2 linked regions of the Lepisosteus oculatus genome follow. The protein of the gene in region 2 interacts with the protein of the main gene of each other region in a biochemical or structural test. Links are inferred from orthologs where the notes say so. Each region holds a gene or a part of one and is shown on either strand. Other genes may lie near its edges.

The links.
Region 1: the proteins of crebbpa (region 2) and hoxb7a form a complex in vitro, tested with the Homo sapiens proteins (2 studies listed by BioGRID). The link is inferred for Lepisosteus oculatus from reciprocal best matches to the Homo sapiens genes CREBBP and HOXB7.

What each region holds. Positions count from the first base shown.
Region 1 is NC_090723.1:9,324,760-9,332,833, forward strand, and holds the start of hoxb7a (homeobox protein Hox-B7a), read right to left. Parts: upstream 3,046-8,074; 5' UTR 2,382-3,045; coding exon 1,973-2,381; intron 1-1,972. Other genes in the region: hoxb8a (homeobox protein Hox-B8a), read right to left, coding at 4,600-4,916, 5,529-5,952. UniProt on the Homo sapiens protein: Sequence-specific transcription factor which is part of a developmental regulatory system that provides cells with specific positional identities on the anterior-posterior axis.
Region 2 is NC_090714.1:3,324,916-3,332,557, reverse strand, and holds the start of crebbpa (CREB-binding protein), read left to right. Parts: upstream 1-4,575; 5' UTR 4,576-5,410; coding exon 5,411-5,498; intron 5,499-7,642. UniProt on the Homo sapiens protein: Acetylates histones, giving a specific tag for transcriptional activation. Mediates acetylation of histone H3 at 'Lys-18' and 'Lys-27' (H3K18ac and H3K27ac, respectively).

The sequences.
Region 1 (8,074 bases), on a different chromosome or scaffold from region 2:
GTCTCCGAGGCGAGCCTCTTAACAACAGCAGCGTGTTGATCTATAACTTGCATAAACAGCACGAGTTACTGTATCAGAAGTGTTCAATTGTGGAACAGAGACAAAACCCCTGACCAGCTGGAATCAAATATGAAAATCTAGACGTTTCTTAGATCTGTTTCTTTGAACTATTATTCTTAGGAAAGCTTCATAAAACCCCTGGGTTGTTATCAATGTCGAAATGTTAAACTGTAAGTAGTATGTACATATATTCAAACTGAACACTCCACACAGACGTCAGATGTTATTTTTTTTTACAAATATTCGAAGCAGAGCTAGTTCAGCTACAGGCCCCTAGGAAACAATGCTGCCCCGACACACCTTTTGCTAATATTTAATTGCAACGCAATAATTTAAAAAAAACTAACTGAACATTCATTTTGTGAACCGCCCTTCCATTAAAATGTATACAGTATACTGGATTAAACGATTATGAAGAGTTCATCACTGATGGGAAATTATTTTCATTAACATATAGCGGGCCTACTTGCTAACCGAAGCTTGAAGGTGCAACTGGATTCAAAAGGAGGGGTTGTAGGTCACATTCTTGACTGGGAGATGGATCCAAAATGGCAAAAAAAAAAAACCGTGAAACTTTTTATTGCTTAGGAATAATACGGAAAATGAAGATATTTACACCTGAAGAGAAATCGTCTGTATTTATGTTCATATAGAATATCATTACTGGCACTTGTGGGGCCCCACTGGAAGTGTGTGTCAATGAGTAGTTGTTTATTAATGTCCTAAGACGAGCTAATGAAGACGTATCTCTTTTAAAACTATTAAGTCTTGCTATATCACCACCCCGGCGGCTAACGAGAGAGAGAAGTTGCTCTTGTTGACAATGTACTGTTGCTAACTTTCCGCGGGCTGGGGCCAAAACTGCAGTGAAAGCCGATTGCTGTCATAGAAGATCTTCAGACCTAATTAATCACGAGATTTAAAATACACCGGGACACGCGGCTGCTGTTCTTTCTGGCTCTGGGGGCATTCAGAGATTGCAGAACACGCAAATGGACAAAAAACATACAAAACCAAAAACATCTCATTTCCGAACTACAGTTATTGCATTTGCTACCGATCGGTTAATTTTTTTTAAAAAAAGGCCAACACAGACCGAGTGGATTAGCTAATGATATTGACGTGTAGCATGAAAGAAAATACGTGTTACTTCTCCACGGCTTTCTGGTGGCCGCGGCCGCAGCCCTCCGAACATCAAAGGCGTGGAGGAAGAACATATTACGGCTTGACTCGAACGCTTGGAAAATCAAAAAGAATTTCTGTGTACAGGGCATGCAAACCCTTCACACCCCCCGGTAATCGGAGAGCATTTGTCAACAGCAACAGAAGAAGCCATTCGCGATTCGCTCACCGTTCTAAACAATATAACTCCACCGAACGAGAAAACATTTTTTTTTTTTACAGGCAAAACTGTGCTGGCTAAAAAAATAACCCTACAAGCTTTTACTAGATCCCGCAATTTGAACGAGGGGGAAAAAAAGAACAGCGCAAACATACGAATTTTTTTTTTCGTATAGATTTTTTTTTTTTAAATAGACGAGGGCACCCTTAGTATACGGCGTCGGTAAAACCAGATCCACATCAGAAGGCAGATCTGTCGTTACTCCGTTTCGAAATTCAGGCACAGAGACCCGCCGAAGTCAGGCTGAGGAATCCGGTGCATTCTCCACAACACTCTCTGTAATGAATATGCAAAGGACTAATATTATAGCTTTATGGGGGGGTCGTATAGCAATAAAAGATCTGCTTTAGCAAAACGTCATAAAGGCGACTCGACACTGCGCAATTAAAGCGTTTTTAAAACCACAATTTAAAAGGTCGCTTTGTCTTGGCGAGGAGTGCTTCATCATTGTTGTTAGTTCCATGCAACGAATAGCCTTCCCCCCCCCCTCCGACACCAACAATCACATACCTGTGCTTCTCATCCAGGGATAGATCCGGAAGTTGGCTTCGTTCTGCTGCTCAGCGTCTCCGTGCTCTGCTTTGCCGCCGCACGCCTGCTTGGAGGGCTCCCCGGCGCAGACCATGGGCAGGTTCTGATCGAAGGGCGAGCAGTGCATGTTGAAGGAGCCCGTGTTGAGGCCGTAGCCGGCCGAATACACGCTCTGGTTCGGGGGATGCACGCTGCCTCCGTTGCTGTACAGCCCCGGCATAGAGGAAGGGAAGCTAGTGGCACCGTTGCCCGAGACATAGCCGCCGGTTCGCTGAGAACTGGGCGCAAAAGCGCAAGAAGTTTGCTCGGGGAAGACCCCAGCTGGGAACACCGAACTTGCAGCTTGGTATTTGGAGAATAAAGCATTCGCATAATACAATGAACTCATAATTTGGCCGGGTGATTTGTAGGCCGGGACGTTTTAGTGTCGGTTTTACGAGGTACCGTGATATATTACGGAATTAAAGTCCAGATTTACACCAAAAAGCACCCCTTTTTCCTCAGGGTTCACGTGACAGGGGGCACGTGACTCGCGGTGGTCCAATGGAAAGGGGGCTTCCCAGATCTTCGGCGCTGTGGAAAATCTGAAGTACGGCTCAGATTAGAAAATGTTAAATAATTTACGTTATGTAACCTAAAGATCCGCGTGTGCAAGAGGCAAGAGCTCGCAAACACAAATCGATAAACTACAGCCTGGACCGTAATCCGTTCTGTCCCGGGGAGCGAGATTGGAGTGTGCTGGGGTCGGTGGAGGTGCAGAGAGGAAGAAAAATCAGATTTAAGAACGTACTCCACCATTTGCGAGGCATCACATACATAAAGAGAAACCTATTTATTGCAGCATCGATTTTCTCCTCGAAACATCGTCCTGCGAATATACCCCCCCTCTCCCTCTCTCTCCCCACACACGGCGCTCTGTCCCTGCTATCTGGGCGAGCGCTTCTCTCCCGGCTGCCGGTGTGTCTGTCGGCTCGTCCGGGGCTCCAGCTAATGAGTTAGACTCTGTTGCAGAGTTTCTGCCTCAGAGCATCCATTTACACCGGCCGCACAAAAGCTCGTGGTTTCCAGCAATGAGGATGAAACTCGGATTTTTTTTTCCACCTCCAGGAACGTTTGACGCACAAACCCCCCCCCCCCCCCTCCTCCACCAAAGACCCCCCCGGCCCCCAATAAAAGAGTTTTAAATGAACACGTGATTCCGTTCCGAAGATGTTCCATTAGAAGAACTTATGGGTACAGCTGAACGCGAATACAGCTCGGAGTGCATAATAACTGTAATGATATCACCGCCTGTGATGCGTTAATAGGCCTATGGGCCATTGATACACGAGTATCCCGGTATTAACGCCTGTTCCTTTTCTTTGTGATTGTGAGGTGTCTTTACCCGACTGCTGCCACAACCATAATAAAAGGTTTCACAGGTCTGGTTTACCAAATCATTCAGATTTTAGTGCTCCGTCCGCCACAGTCGCCCAATACAAAGTCGGACGCGAGTAACTATCGGTACCTAGTCGTATATCGTGTTGGGGTTTTGTTTTACTTAAAATTGATTTTTTTTAAAAAAGGCAACTTAAATCGCAAATAAATTTGCTCTCATATTGGAGTGAGCTTAGGTCTGGATCATCTTATTCTACTGTCAGCGAGGGGTGGGGGGCTTTTCTCAGGCCGGGAATAGAAGACGAAGGCTTTTGCGCCCCCGTTTGCCTCTCGTCTTGTGGGGGAACTGTGGGGACGGGGCTATGTGGGGTGTCTGTGGAAAGACAGGGGCCCGACCAGAGGATCACCTCGACAGAGAGGAAGCAGGAGGACAGCTGTGCCGTCACGGGATTTCGCTTGTAAACTTTATTGTGTCCTTCTCTTCCGCAGCCTCCAGGCTTTGACAATAGAACAGAGCAGTGAAGAACAATCAAGCGAGTCACCAGGCCTCCATAAACTAATTCACGAGTACAGTATACATTCTGGTTCACAGTTAACGAAAGATCACCTTACAGTCTGTTCAATTACTATTATGCACTGTGCGCATGCTTAGTCCCAAACTTGAAAAAAAAACCAAACAAGAACAACAAAATATTATTAATTAAAACAGACTAATCGAAGGACAGAACATAAAAAAAACAGAATAACCTACAGCATAAATAGGCAGTTTCATGTTGTTGGGAATTCATTATTTGCTACGTTATTAGAATACCATGAATGAGAACGATAAAAAGTGCACCATATAACATAATAAAAAAAAAACTATACAGCTGCCAAATGTAATTGTTAATGATGATATCCTAACAATAAAAAGGTTTCACATTTAAGTCTTCCACAAATAAGAAAGCTATTTTGTTTCTCGTTACACTACGATATTTTTTCCGACATCTGGTAAAAAGTAGAAATATTTCTTTCCGTGGGATAACAGTTTTCGCTTCATCAAACGAATCTTACACTTGATACAATAACGCCTCCGCCAGTTCTTGTTTCCCTATATATATATATTCCACAGCATTTTATACAAGGAACGCGAGAAGGTTACAGTGTTGCTCTGAGAAAGCGGCGCGCTGTATCGCCTCAGTCGGTGGCCTTTAGCTGTCTTCCTCCGCTCGTCCATTTCTGGGGCTCGCCTAAATCTGTTTCTCTTTCTCCCCGTCTTCCTCGGCCGTCTGCTCCCCCTCCGCTTTCTCCTTCTCCTTCTTCTGTTTCTCTATTTCCTCCTGCTCCGATTTGCTGCTGGGGAATTTGTCCTTGTTGTTCTCCTTTTTCCACTTCATCCGCCGGTTCTGAAACCAGATCTTGACCTGGCGCTCGGTCAGTCCCAGGGCGTGCGACACCTCGATCCGCCGCTTGCGGGTCAGGTACGGGTTGAAGAGGAACTCCTTCTCCAGCTCCAGCGTCTGGTAGCGGCTGTAGGTCTGCCGGCCTCGCCTCCGTCCGGCAGCTACTGGGAAGAGAAGCGGGCGACACGTTTTAGAAAAGACGAGCATCAGAATTCAGGCACATTGTGAAAACCACCTTCCTGGAGGCAGCCTTTCAACGAGACCACCAGTCCGGCCACACTAATATTTTATTCGCTTTTCCTGGTCCAGTTGTGATGAACCTCAAGCGTACCTCTTGCACAAGTGCACAATCCACATACAAAAACGCGTGTGTATAGTTATATATATAGCATATGTTCGTACATCACGTTACACACACAGTAACTGGAATACACACTCTGCACTCTGATAGGGCATATCAGAGGAAGAAACTTTGTCAATACAAACAGACACAGATGCAGGCTAGTGATCCCCCACATGGAGAGAGAAGGAAGCCGAGGGGAGACAGTGCCCCTTTCTGCTAGGGCCATTAAACTATAAAGTGATTCACAAGTTTGGACACCATAAAACGGTAAAGAAAACAACATGCTATTGTCTCTATTCCCACTCACAGGAAATACCAGCTTTATGGTCGCTGAGAATTTCTCTCTCTCTCTACCTCCCTCCCTCTCTTTATAGTTACGCTACCCTTCCCTGCGACCCGCGCCGCCGCCTCTCCAGTCCTGTTCCGGTCTCACCTTGAGGTCTCATCCAGGGGAAGAGTTGCGTGGGAGACGGGCTCTGCTCGGCGCTCTCCGTGTCGTCCGCGATGCTGCTCGCCGCCAGCTTGCAGTCGCTGTACTGCACGAGGTCAGCCTCCTGGCTCCCGAAGAGCGTCTGCCTTTGCAAAGCGTCGTAGCCATAGAAGTTCCCCGGCTCCCCGTGACAGGTCACGGCACACGGGCTCTGCTGGTAAGGGGTGGCGGAGAGCGTGGACGCGCCGTGGTGATAAAACTCCTGAATCTGAGTTGGATGTTGGAAAGTTCCACCGGTACCGGGTCCATAGACTACAGTGGGTCTGTTCCCCAGTTCCTGCGTGAAACCACACTCGTAATAATTAGGACGTAAGGAATCGCCGCTTTTATATTTGGAGAAAAGAGAGTTGACAAAATAAGAGCTCATGTTTTTTTGTACGTTGTTGGCCGCTGTTGCTGTGTCTTTTGTTGTTGTTGTTGTTGTTGTTGTTTAGGAGCCGGAGTTTCTCATATAACCCCCCAAAAAATAAATAAATAAATCAGCGTTTCTCGGGATTGCGGCGCCAACACTCAGGGAATCCCAAGAATGCCTTTTTTTTAAGAACTCCTTTTAAATTTTCAAGCCACTATCATTGTCGACTTCCATAAAATCGCCACCACTCGGCTCTACCGCATTACAATTCCAGTAAGGGTTGCCAGTTCATAAACAGTTTTCCGTGATTTACTCAGCCGCAAATGAGTTGTTTCATATTTTGCAGTGTCTTTTCAGGATAATTTGCATCTATTATCGGATCTTCATCCCATTGGCTTCGGCGTTTCCACACGGACACTGCACTGCGCGATTGTGTTGTGGAGAGAGGGAGAGACGGAGACAGCGAGGGGAAGAGAGGGAAGAGAGGGAGGGCTTGGGGGGGGTGTGAGAGAGAGGGAGAGAGAGGAGGGGAGAATTTGCACATTAATATATTCAACCGGCTTAGTTAATGAGATATCTGCCGCTTTGCATCAGATCTGGAGCACGCGCCGTCTCCCCCTTCCCACCCCCCGAAAAAAAAGACTGATTTTAAAGGAGTCGCTGATAGTCAAACTGAAAAGAGACGCACTCCGTCGTTAATTTTGAAATTCTAACGAGGTGGATTCGCCTCGCTCTCTTTTTTTTCTCTCCCTAAATGTCAGGGTCGCATTGGCAAATTGTGAAAGTACACGACTTAATTACTATCAGTTTTAACGGGTCCTATAAACGTAATTGGCGTTCTAGAACAACTTGTCAAAAGCGCCGAACTCCGGCGGCTGCGGCACAGGCGAGGCAGACGGGGGTAGTAATATTTAACATTTTAATGATCATATTTTTATAAATATGTTATTGATAAAGATTTAAAGGCCTCGGAAAGGGAAAGTGCTGCTTGTGTAATAGACAAAGCGGCTGTAAACGGTTTAACAAACTATAAAATGTAATAAAACGCCAAGGTTGCCTGTAGAGTGTACGGTGTAGACGGAGAAGGAGGGGATAGAAAAGGCTGTTAAGATTTTATGAGGTTCCACGACTAGCGCTATAAAATAAAGGTTTCACTTGGAGCTACCCCACTGATGCAGAAATCCTCAAGTATTTAATTGTCATTTTATTGTGTTTTCAATACGAAGCATCATTGCTATGTGTTTTGTTATAGAAAACCCGATATTTTAACTAACATTGTTCCCAGGTGCTCGCACACAGGACCCGTGGTCGAATACTTTTCCAATATGGATTGGCTAATATTCCGCCTTAAGAGGCCGTAAAAATTGAGTTTTGCCTAAGCCCCTATTAACGAGAATAATGCTCGTTTTATTTAGTACGGTGATTCATTCATAACAGAGAAAAGCTACATTTCAAACTTGCACATATCGCAGATTTCATTTCAAATCAAAGCAAACCCAGTATCCGGGATTTGACGAGGGAGTTCAGTTTATTTGTTGTCAGCATTTTACAGTTTTTTCCTCTAAATTTGAAAAGACATATGGCGATAATTAGGATGAGATTCGTATTCAGTATAATAGTGCTGAATGGGCACAACAAAGCAGAAGCGACTTGAAGCGAAATTATTCATAGGGGTGCCAGTGTACATACAACTATGAGATAACAGGGAATATTCTCGCAAATTGCGTGTGTTTGTGTATGAGCAGGACTATTAATACGAATAAAACACAGAAGCACGCACGAGTTTATCTAAATAATATGCTGGGAGTTTGTGAACCCTAATGTTTCTGCAAAGTGACACAGTACGCCGCATTGTTCATTTTCGTCCTTGTGAAAATTTCTTGCTTCTAAGGCAATTAGCACGGAATATTAAGAAGGCTTCAATAAGTGCGTGACATTACTGATTGTGTAATACATAAGCTAACAATCTAAAAGTAAAAAAACTTCATCCGTGAATTTGAATGAGTGTTCGTTTAAGTAAAACAGTCCTGTCCTAGTGCTGCTGTCTCACTCTGTGTGTCGAAATCTCCCAGTTTTTTTGTCTGACTATTAATACGAAACAAAAATGAAATTTGTCTCTTTGATCTGCACTTGCTAA
Region 2 (7,642 bases):
CAGATCATACGGGAAAGAAGGTGGAGGTGATTCTAAATCGCAAGCGGTGTTGAAGCTATCAGGCGTTCTTTAGTAATAAACGAGGCAATTAATTTCAGCAGAAAAGAGGGGCTCACAATCAGTGTACAAACTCCTCCTTTTTCATCCGTCGTTTCTGCACAGTTACTCCTTGCATATTCAAAGATGGGTCGTTTTAAGCACCGGAGGAGAGTGAGAGGTCCGCACTGAATCCCATTCAGGGTTTGCTTTTAATTATTTAAAAAGGCCAATAATGCGCTGAGGCAGTTCGAGTCGTTAAAATGATGTCTAGACGCTTGTGCGTCAACAGAGCAAGAAGACAGCATGAAACTTTGTTCAACTATTTCGTTTTTGATCTCAGCAACATACAGTTGTCTTATGAGTAACGTTTTGAGTTACTCTTATGGGGCTAACTGCGCACAACCCTTGAGCTGCTCTTCTTATTAAAAGGCATACATTTTGAAAACAATGCTAAGCTGAATACCTAATGCATAACCTTTAAATGCAACATATGATGGGGAATGGGAGCGTCTCGACTTCATCTCTCAATTCATGCTGTATCGACTGCAAAATTGTAATGAAAAATGAGACATGAACGCATTTCGCAAACGTTCAGCGGTGTTCTTTTAAAGAAACGTTAAGAGATTAAATTGGGCTAAATTGCCTGAAAAACGAGCTAATTAGGTAAATAATGGGCGGTTTTGCAAAAGATATTTTAGTGCAACTGATCACAAAGCACACACGTTCCTGTTGGCTGGAAGACTGGGTGGTTTTAGTACATCTTGTTTGAAAGCGCAGTTACAAATTCCTTCCATCATTGGTACTCCAGCTGTCTTCTTCAGAATGTGTCGAGAAACATTTAATATCGCAATGCTTCTCCATTGTTCGGTGTTAAAGCTCCGAGTTGTGGACATTGTTTTAAATAACTGAAAGTCGCCTAAGCTAAGGCTTAGCAAGGTAAGTGAAAACGCTGTCCGTAGCATAGCAAAAAAAGCATTATTACCAGTTTACGACTATGAAACGGTTTTTGACATAAGCCTGCATAATACGTGCCATGTTAGGAAACTGTAAAGCCTATATAGCCTGTGTCCTGCTTACTAGGATGAAGTTTAGTTACGACGTTCACCTTCTGTATCTTGCTTTTCTATTAGTTTGGTATCTGTTGCTCTTACACTGTAAACATTCTCTTCACGGACCACTGCTGACTTGAGGGATGCAAATATCCTGTCGTTGTTTCGCTTGCGCTCTTAAAATGTAGCAGAGAAAACTGCCGTCATCGCATTAAATTCAGCGATACTTGTGTCTAAATCGAGCCGGATCTCTGATACCTACAAAAGCAGGTTAGCCGTGTCTTTCGGTCAGAGTTTATCCGTCAAAAAGAATAAATACGGGGGAAATGTAAGGCGTCCGGATTTACAAGTTCTAAAGAGAACCTTAAATCCACACTATCTACAGACGGTTCACCATTAATTGTTGACAACAATTAAGCCATCAAGTCACACAATTAAGTCATCAACGAGGTAAGAGTTACAAAGGAAAGAAGGCCATTTGATTAATGTTTTTGTTTTGTTGGTGGTAGATAATTGCTCCCAGAATCTTATCCAGTGGCATACCAGTCTCGGAGGGGGTTTTCCAGTGCACAGTAGTGCAAAGTGATTTCCTTCTTCTATCTAGAACATTTGCTAACATCCTGTCCTGTATTACCTGTGAGTATCTAGATTCATAAATAGAGGGTTGTGGTGTTCAAATCCCAGGCGTGATACTTCTGTTGTACCCTCGAACAAAGTACTGGAATTGCTCCGGTGAACTACTCTGCTGCTTAAATGAGTGCAAACATAAGTCGTTTTGAATCAACGTGTCAGCCAAATAAATTGGCAATTAAACGGGTATCTGTAACAAGTCTGCAGACTGTCCTGGAGTGAGATGAAGGGCACTGACTCCTTTGAAGAGCCCAAGTCCTAGGTGGAGCTTTCAGTCAGTGAGTACCGCTTACCTGTGCACAGGTGCCCCACCTCGGTCATTCAGACTCAGAACTGCGCTGTGATGTCCAGGACCAGGGTGTCTAGTTCAGGAGTGACCAGTCCTGGACCTGGAGGACTCCAGAGCAACAGGTTAGAAGTTATCCAGAAATGATTCTTTCCCTCAGTTTATTGGTGGGGGGGGTAATTTCGAGATCTGTTGGGATTAAAACCAATTAACCTCTCCAGAAACATTTGTCCTCCAGAACAAATGCTGCTACAAACGGAAGTCTGAGGATACAGCTCATTTTGCTTCTTGAGTTACTGGGAAGCGGGAGGCTTGGAGATCTCTTCCAGGGTTTTCTTAAAAGATCCCGGGGAATCTTTTGAAAATTTGTCCCGTTGGACTGCAGACACCCACGCTCCTTTCGTTACAGAGATGCTGCCCGACTTTGACCCAGATGCAGAATGTTTTCCATTTTCTCTTGTAACTCTGGCACCTGCGTGCCAACTTGTGTGCTGTTTCCATGTTGCTCACCATTTTAAACTCACGCAAAGCCTCCGTTGTTCAACCCTGAAGAGATTTAGCTCCTTGTCTTATGAGACCGTGCTCAGCGTCAGAATTAACCTTGTGACTCTTCTTTGAACGGAATCCAGAGCAGGAGTGTTTTTTTTTGGGAACCTGGTGACCACATTTGTGCATCTTATTCGACGCAAGTAAGTCATAGACGTTATATACAAGTGTATTGTATATCATATATCTTATCACTTTTAATAACTGCTTCTCCAATTCAGGGTTGTGGGGGTGATGGAGCCTATTCTGCAAGCAGCAGGCACAAGCCAGGATACACCCTGGACAGGACACCAGTCCATCTCACGGCACGCACGCTCACACCAGGGACAATTTTCCCAGAAGCCAGTTACCCTGCCAGTATGTCTTTGGACTGTGGGAAGACACCGGAGCACCCAGAGGAAACCCATGCTATCACAGGGGGGAACATGCAAACTCCACACAGACAGTACCCCAGGAAATGAACCCAGGGCTGCAAGGCAGTGGTGCTCATGACTGTGCCACCATGCCACCCTTATATCTGATCTTAATTTTCCATTCAGAAATCTACAATCCCCCCAAACCATTTGTTAGTGATGCTGCTTTTGCTGCATTTGATGTTGTATCAGGTAGGTTTCTCACTTTTCTGCTATGCTTTTCTCAGTATCGTAGTGAATTGTGGAGATGGCAAAGTTCCTGGACTTGGAAGTGTGAAGTGTTCTACTAAATTTAGACTACACTATCCTGAACTATTAGAAATGGGTCTTGCAGACTGGACTGTGGCGTTACTTTAGTACTGGTGTTATTTGTGGTGTCTCCTTAAACTTTCTCCTCAGCCCAGCAGGAGGAGAATTTTCTCACTGCGTCACCTATTCTGCTAGTGCTGATCTCTCAGGTGAGTCTGCTCTCCAGTGGTGGACAAAATGGGTCCCCTCCTATACATTGAGAGAGAAGAGTTTATTTGCGAGATGCACATGTAAATTCTCACAGTTCTCCTGTGACATGCACAGTACAATAGACAAAACCCCACAATCTGCACAGTCCATTACAAAAAAATAATAATGACAGCCACAACTGACTAACATACACAACAACATACTCAACGGTTTTTGCTATCTGATGTATTAATGAGATTTATGCAACTGATGCAATGTTGAGTAGTAAAATCGGTTTGTTGCAGTATCATGGACATGGGGAATGACCTCCAAGATATCAGACTCCAGCCGTGTAGTGGTTGATCAATTTCAGGTGTTGCTGTTGTGCTGATGCAGCTGAAAAGCAGTCTTAATTAAACCAATTTAACTTGTCTTTGCGTAGGGATACAGTGTTTTTACAGTATTTGCAATAGCCTGCACCTTCAAAGATTAAAATAGGCACAAACTGTTGCAACGGCGAGCCGTTTTCTGTTTGGGAGCATTTGCTATTTTTTTTGTGGGGGAAAAACACAACTATAATTAAACGATACGATGTGCTACGCGAATGTATCATCTTTACAGCGTAATACGCACATTGGTAGACTTTTCACAAATATGACTATAAAGACGTTGCGTGTATCATCCGACAAGGTTATTGAAAAGTGAGTTTATTTTTGTCGGTTTGCTAGAGACCATTTGGATTAGCATGGGAAAATAAATTTTTTTGGACATATAATAATAATTGCTTACACTTATATAGCGCTTTTCTGGACACTCCACTCAAAGCGCTTTACAGGTAATGGGGACTCCCCTCCACCACCATCAATGTGCAGAAAATTAACAGAGTGATCTGAGCATTTACTGGAAATGCTCAGATCACATACTTTGGCCGCTTGATCAGAGTCTGTACAACGCATTCCTAGAAACAATTCAATGAGAACACCCCCTTTCGAAGCGTTTCACACACGCTACACGTCCGTAACACCCGTCTAAACAACCCTTTTCAATTCGAGACATTCGGGTATTTCCGCCCCTAGAGGCATCTTCGTCAGTTTCCGTGTGACGCACGGCAGAGCCGTGCGTAGGGCGTGATTGCGCGGCCCCTCCCCCTCGCGGTCTATCTGGAAAAAAAACTTTTTGTATCGAAGGAATCAACAGCCGCCATCTTGTCGCGGCTCGGAGTCAGGATTTCGGGAGAGCATTATTTTTTATTGAGAACCGGAACATCCGAACCGAGGCCAAACGGGTTTCTTCTGCCGAAAACGAAAAGCTTAGACGCCTTCGAAGACATTTCGTGAGAAAAAACGGAGATTGGGTCGGTTTTCATCGGCCAGAAAACCCCCCATATATCTGATTTCCCCTTCAGAAAGCGCCGCTTCGCTCCGTATCTTGGTTCGCAGCCGTATTGTTTACCGGGAGCAGCCGGCGGACAGACAGCGGGGAAGGGGCGAAATAGCGCCGTGAAATATTTTTTTTTTGCACCGGCGCATTTTTTTCGCCGGCAGAAGGGGGTTTTTAGGCAATTAAATTGACGTCAGAAAAAAGGGGGTATTTAAAGATGCGAATTTAGCGCACTCCGCAGGCACGAAAACGACCAAAAAATCCATCGGGGAGATCGTATTTAATTTTTTGTGCCCTTTGTTCCTTCGAAAAAAATATTTTTCATCGGAGGTAATTATTATTGATAATAATGTGGGTGTTGGGTGTTGGATTATCATGGGGTGAATGGTTTTGGCGAAGCGGGGCGCTGTAGCTACTTTTTTGAGAATTTCGCCTTGATTATTTCGCTCCTGCAAACGGAGAGTAGAGAGGAGGCGAGCGTGGAGGGGTTGCTCTCTTTTTGGTTTTGATTTTTTTCTCGGGGGGTGGGGATTATTATTATTATTTTTTGGGGGGCCACCGATCCCTCCCCCCCCCCTATTTAGAAAAAAAAATAACCCAATCACATCTAACGATCCGAGTCGATCGCCATGGCCGAGAACCTGCTTGACGTCGGACCTCCCAACCCGAAGCGGCCGAAGCTGAATTCACCTGCCCTGTCCGCCTCCGACGGTCCAGGTAAGGCCCGACTGCCCCCCGGCTCCCCGGCGTGACAGTGTCACCGCCGGCGTGTGCGACACGGCTCCGTGCGCACCTTTGCATCGCAATACTTTCCTTCTGGAGTGTGTGCGTGTGCGTATCGCCTTTGGGTGGTGGTGCTGGTGTCTCTTCTGAACTGGGGCTCGATCGGGAGCACCCCGGCTGTGCCTCTTGCTGGGCGCTGCGCGCAATCGGCTCCCCGCTCTTGTGGTGCCAAGGCTGGGCGGCAGAGGCGTGGAAACGGGGAAGGTGTGCGTTTTGCCCGTGTGCTGGGTCTCCGCCGTGTGCATGGCCCGGCTGCAGGGGACAGTGTTTGGTGGGTGGTGGCGGTGTGCCTTTCGGCGTTATGAGATTTTTTTCCCCTATGCCAAAAAATGAGCATGCCCCCCCCCACCACCACCACCACCACCTACACCGTCTCCTCTACCGACCCTCTGATGCCCCGCTTCGTGTCGGTTGGTGGTCGGCTGCAAAACAGACTCTTTGACGTCGCGATTTGAGGTGCCGATGTCAGATGCGTTTTTTGTTTGTTTGTTGTGCGGTTGAATGTGGTGGTCGTAGCCAGGTTTTGATCGAGAAAAGTCCCCGTGGTGGTGGCGTTTGTTGTCGACTCTGCACGGCAGCGAGATGTGGTGCCGTGCGTCAAAATTCATACTCCCCCCCACCCCCCTACAAAAAATATTGAAGTGACCGCGGGGACTCGCTGGACAGCTCCCTGTCCTTTCATGTTGGGCAAGATCGTGGCCTTTCGTAGGAGACCTGGGTGCAGCCGTGCCGTTGACAGCGGACCACCTGGGCAGCGCCAGCAGCCTGCGCTTCACAAGCCGAGGATGGACATGCAAGAGCATGACAAGAGCGACGTCTTGTATTGCTCTTCCCCCTCTCGGTATCCGAAACGATCCACCCCCCTGCCCCGGTGCCGAAGCGGCGGCCGGGCCCCCTGGCGCTGGGTCCCGGGTCCTGGCCGGAGCCGGAGTTTGTTGCCCGGGAGGCGGTGTTTCATTGCAAGGCGAAGCGGCTATGACACCGGCAGGGAGAAGCGTGCATCGGGTGTAGCGCTGGAGGGGAGGGCTTGCGCCTGTCAGTCAGCGGCTGAGCCACTGATCGATCTGATTGACACGGCTGGTTTGAGAAACGGTGGTGGTGGACGGGACTCCGGGCTGGGTCGCACCCGGTTGGTTGGTCGGTCGTCGGAGTCTGTCCCGCGTGTGGTTTGTGGATCCTCCACCCTGCCCGTCCCTCCACCCCTCCTCCCGATCTGATCGCCAAAACACTGTTTAATTCGGGGATCCCCTCAGTTCTGCTTTCTGAAAACGAAACGGTTTGGTCTGTGTCCTGTAAGCCGAGGGGGGCGTGACGCCGTGCGCTCTTGGCCGGAGACAGGAGCTCCGCTGGCGCTCCTGGCGTGCCCCTGCAGGCTGTGTGGAGGGAGATCTCTCGGCCTGGGAGGGTGGAAACTCTCGTATGTTAGCTTTCCACAAGTGTGCAGACCCTCGCTGTGCTGTCGGACAACCGGTGCGCCATCCCAACCGGTCACGACGGGCAACAGTGCCGGGGAAAGTCACGCCGGTACGGTGCTGGCATCTCGATTGCGCGTAAGCTGACGTGGGCGTGGAGGCAGGAGAGCGCTGTAATTTGAAAGCTGCTGTGATTGGTCGGATCGGAATCATTAAAAGTGAACTTTAACAGCTTGTGCTTGGACTATAGCCGTCCATTGTCTACCTAATTAAGGGGGCATTTGACGGATTTAAAGCCCAGCGCCTGCTGTCAGTCTGGGTTTAGGAGAGCGACACTTGCACGTTTTTCCACGGCTTAAGGTCTGATTCAGTTATATTCATTGAGCGGTCATGCCAGAAGAGTGAACTAAGTTCCCATTTGCGTTAATTGTGTTTTCTATCCAGCAAAGAGAGGCTTTTCTGGGTTTTAAACATTACCTTGTGCCAGCAAGTGCGTTGTTAAAACGTGTATTGGTCTATTTAAAATACACTTTCACTGTATCTGGACCCTTTTCAACTTTAGAATAACAGAAATATCCCTACCCTCCGTTTTACTGTTCCACCAAGGTGTGGTGAAGTAAAACCTGCAACAGAAATAGGCTCCATTCACAGTGATGCCCATGACGA